Caenorhabditis elegans: one gene and its partner. The protein of the gene in region 2 purifies or fractionates together with the protein of the main gene of each other region. This does not show direct contact. Each region holds a gene or a part of one and is shown on either strand. Other genes may lie near its edges.

Region 1 (7,226 bases), on a different chromosome or scaffold from region 2:
CGAAGGAGCAGAGAGAGGGAGAGATGTGCTCTCCCTACATCGATTGTGCTCGAGACGACGTGTGCTCCCCGCGGCTTGGGGAGTGGCTGGCATGTGGGCACGCTTTTCTTTTGGGGGCCTCCATCTTGCTTTTATTACTACGAGCTTTGTCTGCAAAACGAGAAACCACAACAATTTGGTTTTCTCACGCGAGTGGAGCCTTTTTCGATTCTTCTTTCTATCATTTTTTATTTCTTCTCCCACCCCTTTCCTCTTTTTTTTTCTCTTTCCTATTCATTTTCGATTCAATAGACTCTTAGGGTCCCTTTGCTCAAGCGCAACCGCAACATTGATGATCTTTCACTCGTTTTCCGCTCTTTTTTGCCACAGCTCCCCATTTCTTTCAAGTTTCTGTGAAATAGTTACATATCCTTTCAGTTTACATCTTGATCAACATGGATCAGCAATGTTTCCTAATTAAAAAAAAAATGTTTCAGTTTGCTTATTTTTTAAACTCAAAAATATAATTCTTGATATTTTGTGTCGCTGTTCAACGATTTAACTTTGCTTAAAGTAATATCAAAAATGAGATAATCTTCATCGTCATAAATTTTTTGAAAAACCTTTGTCAGAGATTGAAAATGGGTCAGTGCCAATATCATTTTGGTCAGTGCCTGTATCATTTTTGTCATTGCCATTATCATTTGTTCAGCGCATTTATCATCTTGGTCAGTGAAAATTACCTAATTAAATTTATTGTTTTCCAAAATAGTAATGCATTCAAATTGAAAATAAAGTGGTGATATTTTCTTTAGTATTTTCAATTTCAAGAAGTATGTATGCACATGGAGACCCACCTGCCAAATAACGAGAAGTTGCTTGCAAATTTGATTTTTTTTTGGATTTTTAGCTAGGAATTCATATGATTATGATTGCTGTAATTTTTTCTTTGCGTTTTCTGTTGGTGATATTGTTTTTCAGTGTTTCCAAGTTCCATACTCCTTTTTTCATATAAAAATGTTTCAAAAACATAACCTAACAATTTAGACTCTAGTTTTTCAATGCAGATTTGATTTAATTTCAGTACTTTCAAACGAACATTATCGTGATTTATGTTTTTCGTTTCAAAATTTTCGTTCTTATTTCATTCGCCGCCAAAATCAGTAAAAGTATCTTTAGTCGCTTAAAAAAGTAAAAGTAAAAACAGATTCATCCACTTTAGCCGTCAGCTTGAAAGAAAAAAAAATGCTATCCTCTTTCCTTCGTCAACTCTTCGTCCGTATTTTCTTCGCCTCTATTTTCTATTCTGCCTCTCTCAGCTTTTTCGCTCCGAAGCTCCCTCGCCAAAGTGGGTGGAGCATAGGAACTGCAGAGGGGTCCCCCTTCTTTCTCCCCTATTGAATTACTCTGAGCTGCGAAGCGTAGCTCATGGTTGCCCAAAGTCAATTCTTTCTCTCTAGTCAAATGGAAGTTTTTTTTCTTTTTTTTTCTTTCATCTTGTTCGTCTTTTGAAAAATGTATAACTGAAACATAATATAAAAATTAATTAAAATTCGAAAAAACGTCCTTCCCAATCATTTTTCAGGCACTGACAATATTTGAATTTGCACTGACAATATTTGAAGTTGCACTGACAATATTTGAATTTGCACTGACAATATTTGAATTTGCACTGACAAAATTAGTTTTTGCACTGACCCATCAAGAAACAGTTTATTTCTTATATTTTCCGTTCTTTTTTCTAAACTATTTTTTTTTAATTTTAACCGTCCTAAAAGTTTTCCAGGTAAATGTCAAACAAGGAAAGAACAGAGCCTCAGTGGGTAACGCCGTCGTCAAATCAGGTATCACAGCAAGTGCGTGTTTCACTCACATTTTTCAAACTCCCCCCTCACACGTCTAGTCACAAAACCCCTCCCTATCTGATCTGAGCATAATCCAAAAAAAATACTGTTGGCATTAACCATCACTCACATCTATTCTATCCACGCTTTTTGAGCATGCTTCTGCTGTTGAGCAGAGTAACCGTTCTGTAACTCACAATGTTGTCGCTTTGTTATTGTCTTCTTTCACACGTGAATATTAACGATTTGGGAATTGGAAAAAAAGGAAAAGGAAGAGAAAGGACTCGCGACACCAACAACAAAGAATTATTCTGAATAAGGGCTGTGACGAGCAGGAAGTAGTGTAATTTTTAATTGGACGGTTTTAAGAAAAGTGTTATTTTATTCATAAGTTCTTTTTAGTTTGTTCGATAGTTGAATTTCATGAATTTTGCACTTTATAGATAATAGTGCATATCAGGGCTGTTTTTTGTTTAAAAAACAAGTACTCGTGTATTAAAGATGGAATACAGTCAGTGGGAAATTGCTTTAAATACACTTAAAATGGCCATTATAATATTAAAAAACTTCAGACATTTCTTTAGATTTAAAAATTTTTAAAATCAACTTTTTAGTAAATTTCCAGAAGAAAAGGACTTTTTGTGAAATTGAAGAGTTTCTGCGAGTTAAAACAAAATAATTGAACTGTAATTAGAATACACAACTTACATTAAACAAAAATCATTTTTCGGGCGATTTTCAAAATTATGATCGGTGTTTGAGTTTTTACCATTTTTTGACTGCACATAAAAAACCAAACAAATTTCTTCCAATTTTATCATTTACTGTTTAAAAAAATTTTCCCACTGACTAAACTCCACCATTAAACATGATGTGATTGTTTTTCTTTAAACTATGAAATCGATGTTTCTAAAACGTTACAGTACACAAATACCAAAAAGTTGTGCCACTATAGTTTTTTAACTGAAATTTTTTTTAACTTTGAGTTTTATGTTTTCAATACACTTCAGTATTTTCCAGAAAAAAACTTACTCAAGCTTAATTTGTCGATTTTAAAATTTTCCAAAAAAATGTAAAACGATTCTCATTAAGTCGACCAAATCAAAAATGGAATTGGATTAACAGATTGAAAAAGTATATTTCCTTATTAAAAGCTTAGTTATTTTTTGTTAATTTTTGAATTAATGATACAAAATTTGGCTTTTTTAAGAAATATTTTCACATTCCCAAAATAAAAATTTTAAATTGAGAAACTTCAATTTTCAAATTTTCATATTTATTAGTTGTTTTTTTTTCTGTTATGGGTGGGATTCTAATTTTGCTTCTCATTCATTTTCCTTGGCGTGCAATTTTTATTTAATTAGCCATATGTACTTTTATACACGCAACAACAAGCACTTTATCAAAGGGCACGTCAAAAGTTCTCGCAAATTCTCAATTTACTTCGCTTTACGCTCAGAATAATTATTTTTCCCTACGGAGAAAAAGAGTCGCCCTGGGAAAGAAAGGGTAAGTGGGGGAGGGGGGTACATTTTAAATGTGCTCTTTTCTCTCTATCTCAGGCCAAGTTGATTTATGTCTCGAGTCCCTTTTCCTTTTCTTGAATACCCGAAGATTCCAATACTTTTTGCATTCCATCAAAATTTGGAGTAAAATATGGAATCGATATGGAAAAATCTTGAATATTGATAATTAACTTTGCAGGATGTGCCACCTGATTACGAGACGATTGGCACAATCTTCGGTTATGCGTTACAAGCTCTTTCATGGATACTTATTATTGTCACGTTTCCATTTTCCATGTGTGTATGCTTAAAGGTTTGTTTTTTCTTCCAATTATCTAATGAAAAAGTTTTTAATTTTTCGGGGAAAAATTTAAAAGAAGTTGAGTGTTTTTAAAGGTGGATTTGGTGGGGGAAACGAAACCCATAAACGCCGTTATTTAAAAAATGGTCAATTTAAAAATAGTCAGCTTTTTAATTTTTTCCCCCAAAATGGTATTGATTTCATTTAACAATTTGACATCAACATTAATAAAACATTAAGATCACGTAAAATTGTGCTAAAAACGAAAATTTTCACGATTTTTCTAAACTTCACATACTCGAAAAAAAAACTATGATAATTAATTGGCAAAACAACTTTGTATAAAAAGTTAGTTGAAAATCAAACACAACTTTAAAAACGTTTCTTGTTTACTAAATTCAATCAAAAATAATTTTCTGTGTAAAAAACGTTTGTTTGAAGTTTCAAAGCGTAGATTGTAACTTTTTCGATTTTTACTGATTTAACAATATTCAATTTGATGGAAGAGTATGATGATCTGATTATTTTGTTTTCTTAAAAATTAAGATTAACAAATATAATTGTTTAAAAATTTTTCTGTCTCACAGTTTTCAATTTTGTTCAATTTTCCCAACAAAAAAAAATCAAATGGCTAATTAAACAGCGCCCACTTTTTTGGGTTCTTAGATTTTTGGGTTTTTGGTTGTTATTTTCTGATCTAATGTAACGTAATGTAATAATGTAATGTAATATAATATAACGAAATAACTGAAGAAAAAAAATAGAGCCATTAACTAAATACTCCAAAAATGTGGGCATTGCCTCGTTCAGAGCAAAATACCAATTAACAATAAAACTGACCAATATTCTAATTGCCCTGACCAAAACTTTAATTGCACTGACCACAAATCTAACTGGATTAACTGAAAGTTTGAATGCACTGGTCAAAAATATTTTTTGCGCAATGCAATATTCAAACTGCACTGATTTTCTGACCTGGGCTCACTTTTAAGTCAAACAGCGACATTAATCAATTTTCTTTAAGAAGTAGAAAACTTGGGGTTCAAAGTTATTTATTGATTGTTTTTATTCAAAAATCTATCAAATTTTCAAAACACAATCGATACCTTTTTTTGGAATATATTAACTCCAAAAGTTCCTAAAATGATACATTAATGATTTCCAGGTTATCAAAGAATACGAGCGAGTTGTAATCTTCCGTATCGGTCGTTTGGTGTTTGGAGGAGCTCGTGGTCCTGGAATGATCTTCATCATTCCCTGTATTGATACTTATCGAAAAATTGATCTTCGGTATGATTTGACTTAATGTCTCGAAGAAACGTTTATGATTATTATTATTCTCATTTAGTGTTGTCTCGTACGCAGTTCCACCGCAGGAAATCCTGTCAAAAGACTCTGTGACTGTATCCGTCGACGCCGTTGTCTACTTCCGTACCTCCGACCCGATTGCTTCCGTCAACAATGTTGACGATGCCATTTACTCCACCAAACTGCTAGCGCAAACTACGCTGAGAAACGCTTTGGGTATGAAAACTTTGACTGAAATGCTCACAGAACGTGAAGCCATTGCTCAACTTTGCGAGACCATTCTTGATGAAGGAACTGAACATTGGGGAGTTAAGGTGAGATTTTTTTTCCCAAAAGTATAATAAACTGATCACTCAATGCTCATATTTGGGGCTCCTTCGCCAAATAATACTAAAACTGAGAAGCTCAATAAAAACAATTTCGTAACCCAAACAAACACACCGATTAGCCTCCAGAGAGTTAGTAGTTATTTTGGGGATAAACAAGTATGTTTTGTTGGAGAAATACCCAGAAATCTCGACGAACGGGTAAATATGATGGGCAGTAGTTTTAAGGGGTGGAAGTTTGACAAAAAAAAAAGTTTTTGATAAAGTTTCTGGTTTCTAAAATAATTACAAGAATGAAATGTTTTGCTTTAAGTTTTAATTGCACTGACCAAAACTTCAATTCTACTGTCTAAAGTTCTATTTGCACTGACCAACACTCTTATTGCACTGACCATTATTCTAATTACACTGACCACAACTTCAATTGCACTGACAAAATTTTGAATGCACTGTTAAATTGAAAAATTTGCGTAAAACAATATTTTAACTGAACGGACTTTCTGCGATTTGCCAAACTAATTCACACTCAAAAACTTCTTCTTTCTTGAGAAAACATTTATTTTTTGTCGCAAAAAAATATAGAAAATCTATCATGTTACTTTTTTTTTCAAATCTAGTCAATTTCATGTCTGACAATTCAAAGCCATCAATCATTCCATTACAGGTAGAACGTGTGGAAGTGAAGGACATCCGTCTCCCCCAACAACTCACACGTGCCATGGCCGCCGAAGCCGAGGCCGCGCGTGAAGCTCGAGCCAAAGTTGTCGCCGCCGAGGGAGAGCAGAAGGCGTCACGGGCTCTCAAAGAAGCGGCCGATGTCATTCAAGCGAACCCAGTTGCTCTTCAGCTTCGTCACTTGCAAGCACTCAACAGCATTGCGTAAGTTGCCACACTTCTCGAATAAATTTAATTTCGGTGAGAAGAGAGATGCGTGCTCTTTTGGATTGAATTTCGAATTAGTCACCAACTTTGAATTGTACCAATTTTTGAAACTATGGAAAATCGTAGAGGAACCGAGCTATCGCTAATCCAATTTTTTTCAGAGCTGAGCACAATTCTACAATTGTTTTCCCCGTACCTGTGGAAATGTTTGGAGCATTTATGAAAAAAGACCAATAATCATATTTTCCTTTTTTTCTCTATAAATGCTGCACCTTTTGAAATTTGGATCCCAGATAGTGCATTATTAATAGATCAATCATTTGTATTAATTCAAAGTCTATATACATACAATTATCTTTCAAATAGCCTTTATCCTACCAATACTTTCCTAAACGTTCTCGATTTGCACAAAAAAAAACCAGCCAAACAAAACACAAAACTCTCTAATTTCCCCCAAATTCCGATTTGCAACTGTCATTCAACCCGATCATGTATTTTCTGAACTTTTTTTCAAAATTTACGAAACTCTAGTTCTTCTTATTTTTCATTTATATATTCATGAATAAATCAGTTATTTATTATGTGAAAGTATCAGAAAAAAATTAAATTTTCTGTGAAATGTTCAGGAAAATATATCATGGAATTTTTGAATACCACAAATGAGCGGTATCACAAAACTAACAAAAAAAAATAAATATAAAAATAAAAAAACCGTTTTTTTTTCTAGAACTGTATACTTCAAAGGTTTTTGAGTTTTTGAAGTGTTTTTCTGGCAACAATCTAAAAACTTTTTCATCCTTGGTTAAGAAACTTAAAGTATTAGTGCAAAGTATAGAAAATTACAAAAACATTTTCCGGAATGGCATTAAAATTTTGGCAGGAATTCAAACTTCTTTAAAAAATTGTGGTCATTAATTCAAAAATTTCAAAAAAAAAGTATGGGTAAGAATTCAAATTTTTCCGAGAAGTTAGGACAGGAATTTTTTTCTAAAAGTGATTTTTATTAATTTGAGATTGCCTGAAAAATATTGATCTTGACATTTATAACATTGGAAAATTGGGATTTCTAATTATCAAAAGC
Region 2 (7,191 bases):
AAACTTTGTTCTAGTAAATTTTTTATGTTTAAAAAATTCGTTGCCACGAATTGATTTTTTCGATAGTAAATAATTCTTTAAGATAATTTCAGTTCACGTTTTTTTCAAAACAATCGTTTAAAAATATTTATTATTCCGGAACAAAATTCTTCAAATTTTTTAAACATCTCCGAATTCTTTCAGCCCGCTTCTTCTAAAATCCATAATATTTTTCTAAAGATTTCTAAATTTTCGCCCCCTGTCGAATTATCAAGAATTTATAAAGTTTAAACAGACTGTTATGAAATAATTTTTCAAATTAAAAGAATCTAATTTGTTCCGAGCAAATGTTTCAACCTTTTTTGCATGATATCCTCTTTTTTTTATGATTTAGCATAATTAAAGACATTAATATCTTTTAAATATTTATTCATCCTATACAAAAAAGTTTCTGCTATTCAAATGTCAGTCATAAAAAATGCTCAAAAAAGAAAGACAACAATTTACAAAAGTCTAAAATATAATTTACCCGACATCAAAAACTGATAGAAATTTAGTGGAATTTTTATTGTAACTATTTGCTCATTAACTCCTTTGTTGATTCATTTGTTGAAACTTCATCTTCTCCTGGTTGGCTTTTTTTAGGCGATCGTTGAAGAAAATCAATGTGCATTAATGAAGATGATGTGTATTCTTTTCCTTGCATCTTTTTCTGTACATAGACTATTCCTTTGAAATACATTAGTTTGCAGATCTGTAATTCAATATTCTTTTGCGTCAAACTATCTAATAAGTTTCTTCCAACCTCGCAGAAAAGTTCTGCAAATTCAGCAAACGTAATGACTGAAAATCCAATCCATAATCCAATATTACCTCCAAAATCTGAGAAAAGATTGACGAGCTGAAATATTCAAATGTAGCTGATCTTTGAATAGATAATTCTATGAAGTTTGAACTATTGATATAAATAATCCGATTATTTCGTTTTTTCTCCGAAAGTTTCATAAAACATGAATTTTAAAAGTACTAGTACTGACCGTGTAACCGGCGGTTTCTTTCAGCGATTCGAAATTCAATTGTTCGTAGTAAATTTCAATGTAAGCAGTGTTTTGACGATAATATTCGGTACAAGCTTCAGTGTCGTTGAAAATATCTGATACGGCGGGGCAGTCGGTACCTGAAATTATGTGGTAGAGAAAGATATGAGTCATAGAAAAACCAACCAATTTTGAAATTTTGACTGGGCCATGCAGATGCAGAGTAAGCAGTCTCAAATACTTTTTCATGACATGGCTGACGACATTCACATTGTTCGTGTAGATGGTGGTAACCTCCAGAGTCACTTGTTAGGTTTGATAAACATTGACCTGAAAAATACATTTTTTGAAAAAAACATGTTTCTACAAAATTGAAGTATTCAAGGATTCAATATTTGACTTTTTCTTCATTGTGGTAAATTCGATAATGAGGAAAAGTTCCAAAACTTGTGCAACTTATGTGTTCCCATTTGGCACTCCGCTCAGTTGGTGCTTGGCTGGGTGCCTCTTGGGTTATGTTTCTGTGATTTTCTCCTTTTTAAGGCGTCTTCTGGGTAACTGGTAAGAAAGCGAAAAAATATGGAGGAGAGATGCTCACTGTAGAATCAGTAGATTTTTTAGTTAATAAAATGCTATTTATAACTTTTCTGTTTCGCCGAAATTATTTCTAATTTTCTTAATGTTTTAATGAAAAAAACTAACGATCAATTTTTGACTTCGCATTACAATGTCTATGCTCTTCAGATGGTAGAGGGAATCTTGGATCTCCACATCCACATATTTCAAGTACTTTCAATTGGAAACAATTTCGATGGCAACCCTAAAAATATAAATGTTTGATTAAGAATGGGAAATGTTACATACTTCAGGAGAATAGTGTTCGTTGTAAATGTATGGAACCGGTCGGAATGTGTCACTGCAATTCCCCCATGGAGCACTGAGACGATGTAGTTCTTTCTGAAATCGAACTCTGCAAACAGATTCTCAAGAGTATTTAAATACCGTTTTAAGACCAAATGAAGAAATGAATCCAGTTGGAGCACTGTATCCAAATGTATCAGGGAACGGTTCTTGATCTTGTTCATGGACAACTAATCGAACACCTGCTGCTTCTGTTGTTGGCATGTAATCGCTTTGATGCACGTTTAATAATAGACGGAGACCTTTAAACAATAAATTGTTTGGTTATCTAATGCATTGAAAACACAAGCTTTTGAAAAACTTACCATACATGGGACCAGCTCTACTGTTTTTCAACTCCACCGAATCATTGAAGTTAAATGTGTAGCAATTGCCGTATTCAGGATCAACGTGAAGTTTAAAGTCACTTCAATTTCAAGATTTACATGACATTTAAAAGAAAACACTTACCGCTCCATACTACAATCCTTCGAATTAAACGAACATCGAAGAACAAACTCATTGAGGGTGTATGACAGGTTCCTTCTTGTTTCACGGGGTAAAGCAGCCACTAAGAAAATTAAATTTTCTTTTGTTTGAGTTGTGATGGCTCCCGCATCTTTGAGGTCCTGAAAATTATCCTATGAATAGAATATTCCATTGAGAAATGTCTTACGCTCAATCCAAAAGCTTCTTCGGTTTCAGTTATTTCTGTGGTCGGTGGTTCAGTTACAGAATAAACTGTATAATTGTTTGGGTTCCACCATCGGATTTCGTCCTAAGATTTTGTCAATTTAATTCGGAAAAAAGTTTCAAACTAACCTTTGGATGTACCATACAATGATGAGAAATTGATTGGCAAAGACATGGAAGTGGACTGTTATGTTTTGCGATTTGCTTTGAAGCATTAGGACCATCCGGGTCAGGACAAGTATTGGAAATTGAACAACCAGAACATTTCTAAAACTAAAATTAGAAATGATAAACGGAGAGTTATCATACTTTTACAGTCCATACGGAAGTTGGGTAGCATGGCCAGATTAAGCCACGTGTCACGTCTTCAAAGCACATACAAATTGAGGCGTTAACCTGAAAAATTATACATTTTTAAATAAAAGTCATCTAGCAAATTTCAACTTGATTTGCAAGCTGTTTTCAAATAAATATTCCAACCTCTAAAGGATTCCTATTTGGTACACATTGTTCCATATTCATACAGGTGCATCTCACAAAGACTGGCTGATACACTGCACCCTCTAAGTCTTCGTCATCAATTGGAAAAAGTAATTGATCTCGACTTTTTGATCGCTTTCTGGAAATATTTTACAAGTTTACGTTGTGTACATCTTATCACTTACTTCCTGACACTGATTGCTTCTAGAATATCACCTCCTGGCTTCATACTGTCACTCATCATTCGAGCATTTATCACCCGTTCCCAATAGTCAAACTGAAACACCAAATTCAGATTTTCAGAAATTCCAATAATTTTATATGAAAACTTACACCCTCTTTAATTTCTTCATACTGCGTGAGCTCGCTATATTTGAAAGCATTCAAATTGCAAACTGTTGCAGCGGGAAATGCAGCTGAAAATAAATTATTTTAGATAAATAAATGTTGATTAATTTACCAGCTTCAAACTGCAACTGCATTTCAATAATTGTCCTATACTGCAAATATTCTGACATTGTCCAATAGGTTTGTAATAAGAATGCCATTAACATGCACATGAAGAGTGCCGCCCATACATATCGGCCAAAAAATGAAGATGTTCTGCAAAATAAGCATTTTCAGATAAATACAAAATGAAAAAAAAACCGTACGCAACATATGGTATTCCATGGGAAGAAGTTCTGGCACAAAAATCAAACCAAAGGGATTTTATTGTTGTTGTGTGATAGTCTATTTTTTGTGATCTTAACGATTTCCGGGATGACGTTCGGCGTTCCGAGTAGAGAGCTGATGCATGAAGCTGAAAAAATGAGTTGAAATGTTTTGGAAACATCATTCAAATTCAAGCAAAGAGTATACAATAGTAAAATAATTTTCATTGATCCTATATTTTTGAAAACAATTTTATTGTGATCACCGAAGATTCGAAATTATTAGGGCCCCATTTACTAAATAAACCACTGAAAACCTTGGCAACTTCGTATATTAGAAACATGACAAAAATAATTTAATAGAAAAATATGTGTAAAGTTATACTTTTAAGAACGAATTGCGTCGTGTTCCACTAGTAAAATGAGAAATGGACGACATTCTGATAATGCTCAAAAATGTAACATCTTTTGATTCATAACATCTTCCTAATGCTCAAAATAACAACGATAATTTTTTTTAAAGAATAGGCGAAGCAAAACTTAATATCTGTTGTATTTTCCTTTCTTATTTCGATGACAACCCGCAATTTTGAATCAAAAAAATCTCGGTAAGAACGAAAAAATGAAACAAAAGTTTGAAAACGTAGCTTTGAATAAAACTCACTTTTGACCTGTCATCTTCCTCTTCAAAGTGTGGATGAACTCCTCCAGCGTATGGAGATGGTCTAATATATGGACTTGACCTGCTCTCCATTGATTCTGGTTCATGGACGAGTCTCTGCAATAAAAATATGAAGGAAATATTTCATAGTGAAAAGCTGGAATGTCTTCAACTGTAGCATGCTTATGCAAAACTTTTGAAGATACTAAACAATATTGTTGAGAAAAAATGAGAGCAAGCTCTTGAAAAGCTTGTATTAGGACGCCGTGTGGCCCCGGAGTCCCCACAATATAAGCTTATCTAAATGGGAATCTTGGTTTCAAATGTTCAAATCTACTCTCTTTTATCTTTTTCTCCTATTATTCAGTTGACATTCTTTTGGGTGGATCAGGAGGATATGCTAATTTCATAAAGGACCGAGTAGAGAAGAATTCATCAAACAGGGTTCATTTTAATAAAATTGTATGTATTAAACGAAAAAAAGGCGGGAGCTATAAAAAATAATAGTCAAATAAATTTAGGGTTTAAACTTTATCTATTACTCTAAAATAATAGTGTGAATTATTAAAATTTTGAAACAGATAGATTCAATAAATGTAGAAATGTGTTGCTCTGAAAACAAAATAAACGACAATTTAAATAATTTTAAAGATGTTTTAAATTCAATTCTATAACAAAAATTAATACTGTTCCTAACCAGAACTTAACTTTATTTTTTAAACATAAAATTGTGTACCACCTTGAACTGAAAATAGTGTCAACTTCAAAAATTGTGTGACATGAAACAAAAGCTTGGGACACATTTTGAAAAAGGAAAGTCCTCTTCCTGAGGGATCAACTGAAAGACAATTGGCCTCTCTTGGGATCATTGCATGTCGTATTACTCTTCATTCTTTTTTTGGTCTTGCCGCGATTTCCTTCTTGGTTTTTTGTCAAAAGACGGGGGTTTTACACGAATCTGCGATTAGCTTCACTTCGGGGAACTCCCAATTGGGAAATTTATTACCAAGGTTCCTATTTTTGGATTAAAAGTGGTTATTGGTTTTGGGATAATTTTTGGTTATTGTTTGGAAAAAGAATTTACATTTACCAATAGTATGACTGAAAATAGAAGTTACCTGACACATATCAAGTTCCACGTCAGCAAAGGTGACATTTTTTCGAATTTTGTGCCGAATTGCATCCTTGCGACGTGGAAATGTATATTTTGGAATCATAAAGTGCACAGACTAACGGATTCAAAATTTTGACAAGAGACGAAAAGTAGACGAGGGGATTGGAAGAGAGTCATCTATCTTTTTGTTGCTCTGAGAGCCCATCCGCAATTAGATGTATATTGTTGACGTCTCTGTTGGACATCTTCTTACTACAGAAATTCAGAAGAGACTTTGAAAATAAAAGATCGAAAAGTGTAGTTTTTAGAAGTTCAAACTACCGGAAATGCTCCCAATTTTATCAGCTTTTGACTTGAAGTTTTTAAATTTGTTTTCCGTTTTTGGTTTTAGTATACGGTGAATAAATTTTGAAAAAAAAAGAACTCAAACAAATATTCAGGCTTTTTCTAGGAAGGCACAAAATGTCTGCCTGTAGTGTGCCTATACCTGTTACTAGAACAGGATAAATTAAATTTTATGATTAATGATTCGAGTAAAGCAACTGATATTGAACTTTGACGTTCTTCATGTGGTTATTCTAATAATTTTGCAAAATTTATTTGAATACACTTTATGAAGTCGCAACTGTATTAATTTTAATACATATATTTAGTTACTTCAATAAGGCAAAACGGGTATTTAAATGCGCTTCTTAACTTTCCTACACTATTTGAATAACCCATTATTCATTTATGAACTTGTACTGAAATTCCAGTACACTTCTTTTCATTTGTAATACTTTTAAAAATTTGTATTTGTTTTAATTGGAAACAATTTTCAAAAGATATAGTTTATGAAAATCTGTTCAAGTTTTCATTCTCACCTCATCAAATTCAAATTCTTCTTCATTCTCAATAAGTTTATAACAACAGGGTCGCCGACAGAGATGAGTGCGATGTTTTAGAATTGGAGAAATCATTGGTATAAATGAAAAAAGAAAAGCCTTCCATGGGGATATGGGGATTCATCAAGTTTATGATATTCCATAAAGCTTTATGAAATTCGGAAAACAGTAATAAAATTTGATTTGAGTATTCACTTGACACTAGTATTAACTCACTTTACTCTCTGATGTGGCCGATACAAGTCTTTCTGGAGATCCTTTTGTCTGTAAACTTTTTAAAGAAAAAACTACAGAGTTTCTATATTGTTTCAAATGAATTTACTGTATCTGGATTAAAACTTAATTTTTAAAATTTAAAACTTCTATGGGGACACAAAACTTATAACTACCGTTTCAATCCAGAAACAAAATTCTCAAAACTAATTCAAAATATTTATTTCAAAATAATCTTACCATTCGTGATGCTGTACTCATACTTCCACTACTCCTTGCGCTCATCTAAAATAGAAAAATAAATGTCAATAAGAATTTTTAGAAGAGAGAAAGGTGCAGAAGTAGGCAGAAAAAGAATAAGGCAACATTCAAAATGTCGTTGGTCATTCCATTGTGTATTGGAAGAAATGTTGGACTTATTTCCGGTATAAAGGTGAAAAGTTTTGAAGAAGAAGCAGAAGAGGGTGTAGGAGAATCTTGCTCAAAAATTAAGGAATTTATTCACTGAGATTAGTTATTTTCCTGAATCGGTATCAATTTCAACCTTTTGGATTAATTTTTCTAATTGTTATTTTTT

The links. The genes of interacting proteins can lie anywhere in the genome.
Region 1: the proteins of unc-8 (region 2) and unc-1 purify together in Caenorhabditis elegans (affinity purification with western blotting, with the first as the bait; one study listed by BioGRID). This does not show direct contact.

Annotation. Positions count from the first base shown.
Region 1 is NC_003284.9:1,056,987-1,064,212, reverse strand, and holds unc-1 (Band 7 domain-containing protein), read left to right. Parts: upstream 1-1,759; 5' UTR 1,760-1,769; coding exon 1,770-1,835; intron 1,836-3,527; coding exon 3,528-3,641; intron 3,642-4,794; coding exon 4,795-4,919; intron 4,920-4,977; coding exon 4,978-5,251; intron 5,252-5,927; coding exon 5,928-6,142; intron 6,143-6,306; coding exon 6,307-6,382; 3' UTR 6,383-6,726; downstream 6,727-7,226.
Region 2 is NC_003282.8:7,196,861-7,204,051, reverse strand, and holds unc-8 (Degenerin unc-8), read right to left. Parts: upstream 5,621-7,191; coding exon 5,522-5,620; intron 5,317-5,521; exon of another isoform or gene 5,149-5,316; coding exon of another isoform or gene 5,091-5,148; exon of another isoform or gene 4,964-5,090; intron 4,521-4,963; coding exon 4,407-4,520; intron 3,892-4,406; coding exon 3,743-3,891; intron 3,693-3,742; coding exon 3,550-3,692; intron 3,506-3,549; coding exon 3,423-3,505; intron 3,367-3,422; coding exon 3,275-3,366; intron 3,229-3,274; coding exon 3,090-3,228; intron 3,006-3,089; coding exon 2,919-3,005; intron 2,877-2,918; coding exon 2,739-2,876; intron 2,695-2,738; coding exon 2,593-2,694; intron 2,546-2,592; coding exon 2,388-2,545; intron 2,344-2,387; coding exon 2,243-2,343; intron 2,180-2,242; coding exon 2,019-2,179; intron 1,974-2,018; coding exon 1,881-1,973; intron 1,837-1,880; coding exon 1,719-1,836; intron 1,347-1,718; coding exon 1,203-1,346; intron 1,157-1,202; coding exon 1,017-1,156; intron 881-1,016; coding exon 785-880; and 3 more. UniProt on the Caenorhabditis elegans protein: Sodium permeable non-voltage-sensitive ion channel. Involved in the activity-dependent removal of selected presynaptic proteins, such as synaptobrevin snb-1, and Ras-related rab-3, in the remodeling of GABAergic motor neurons.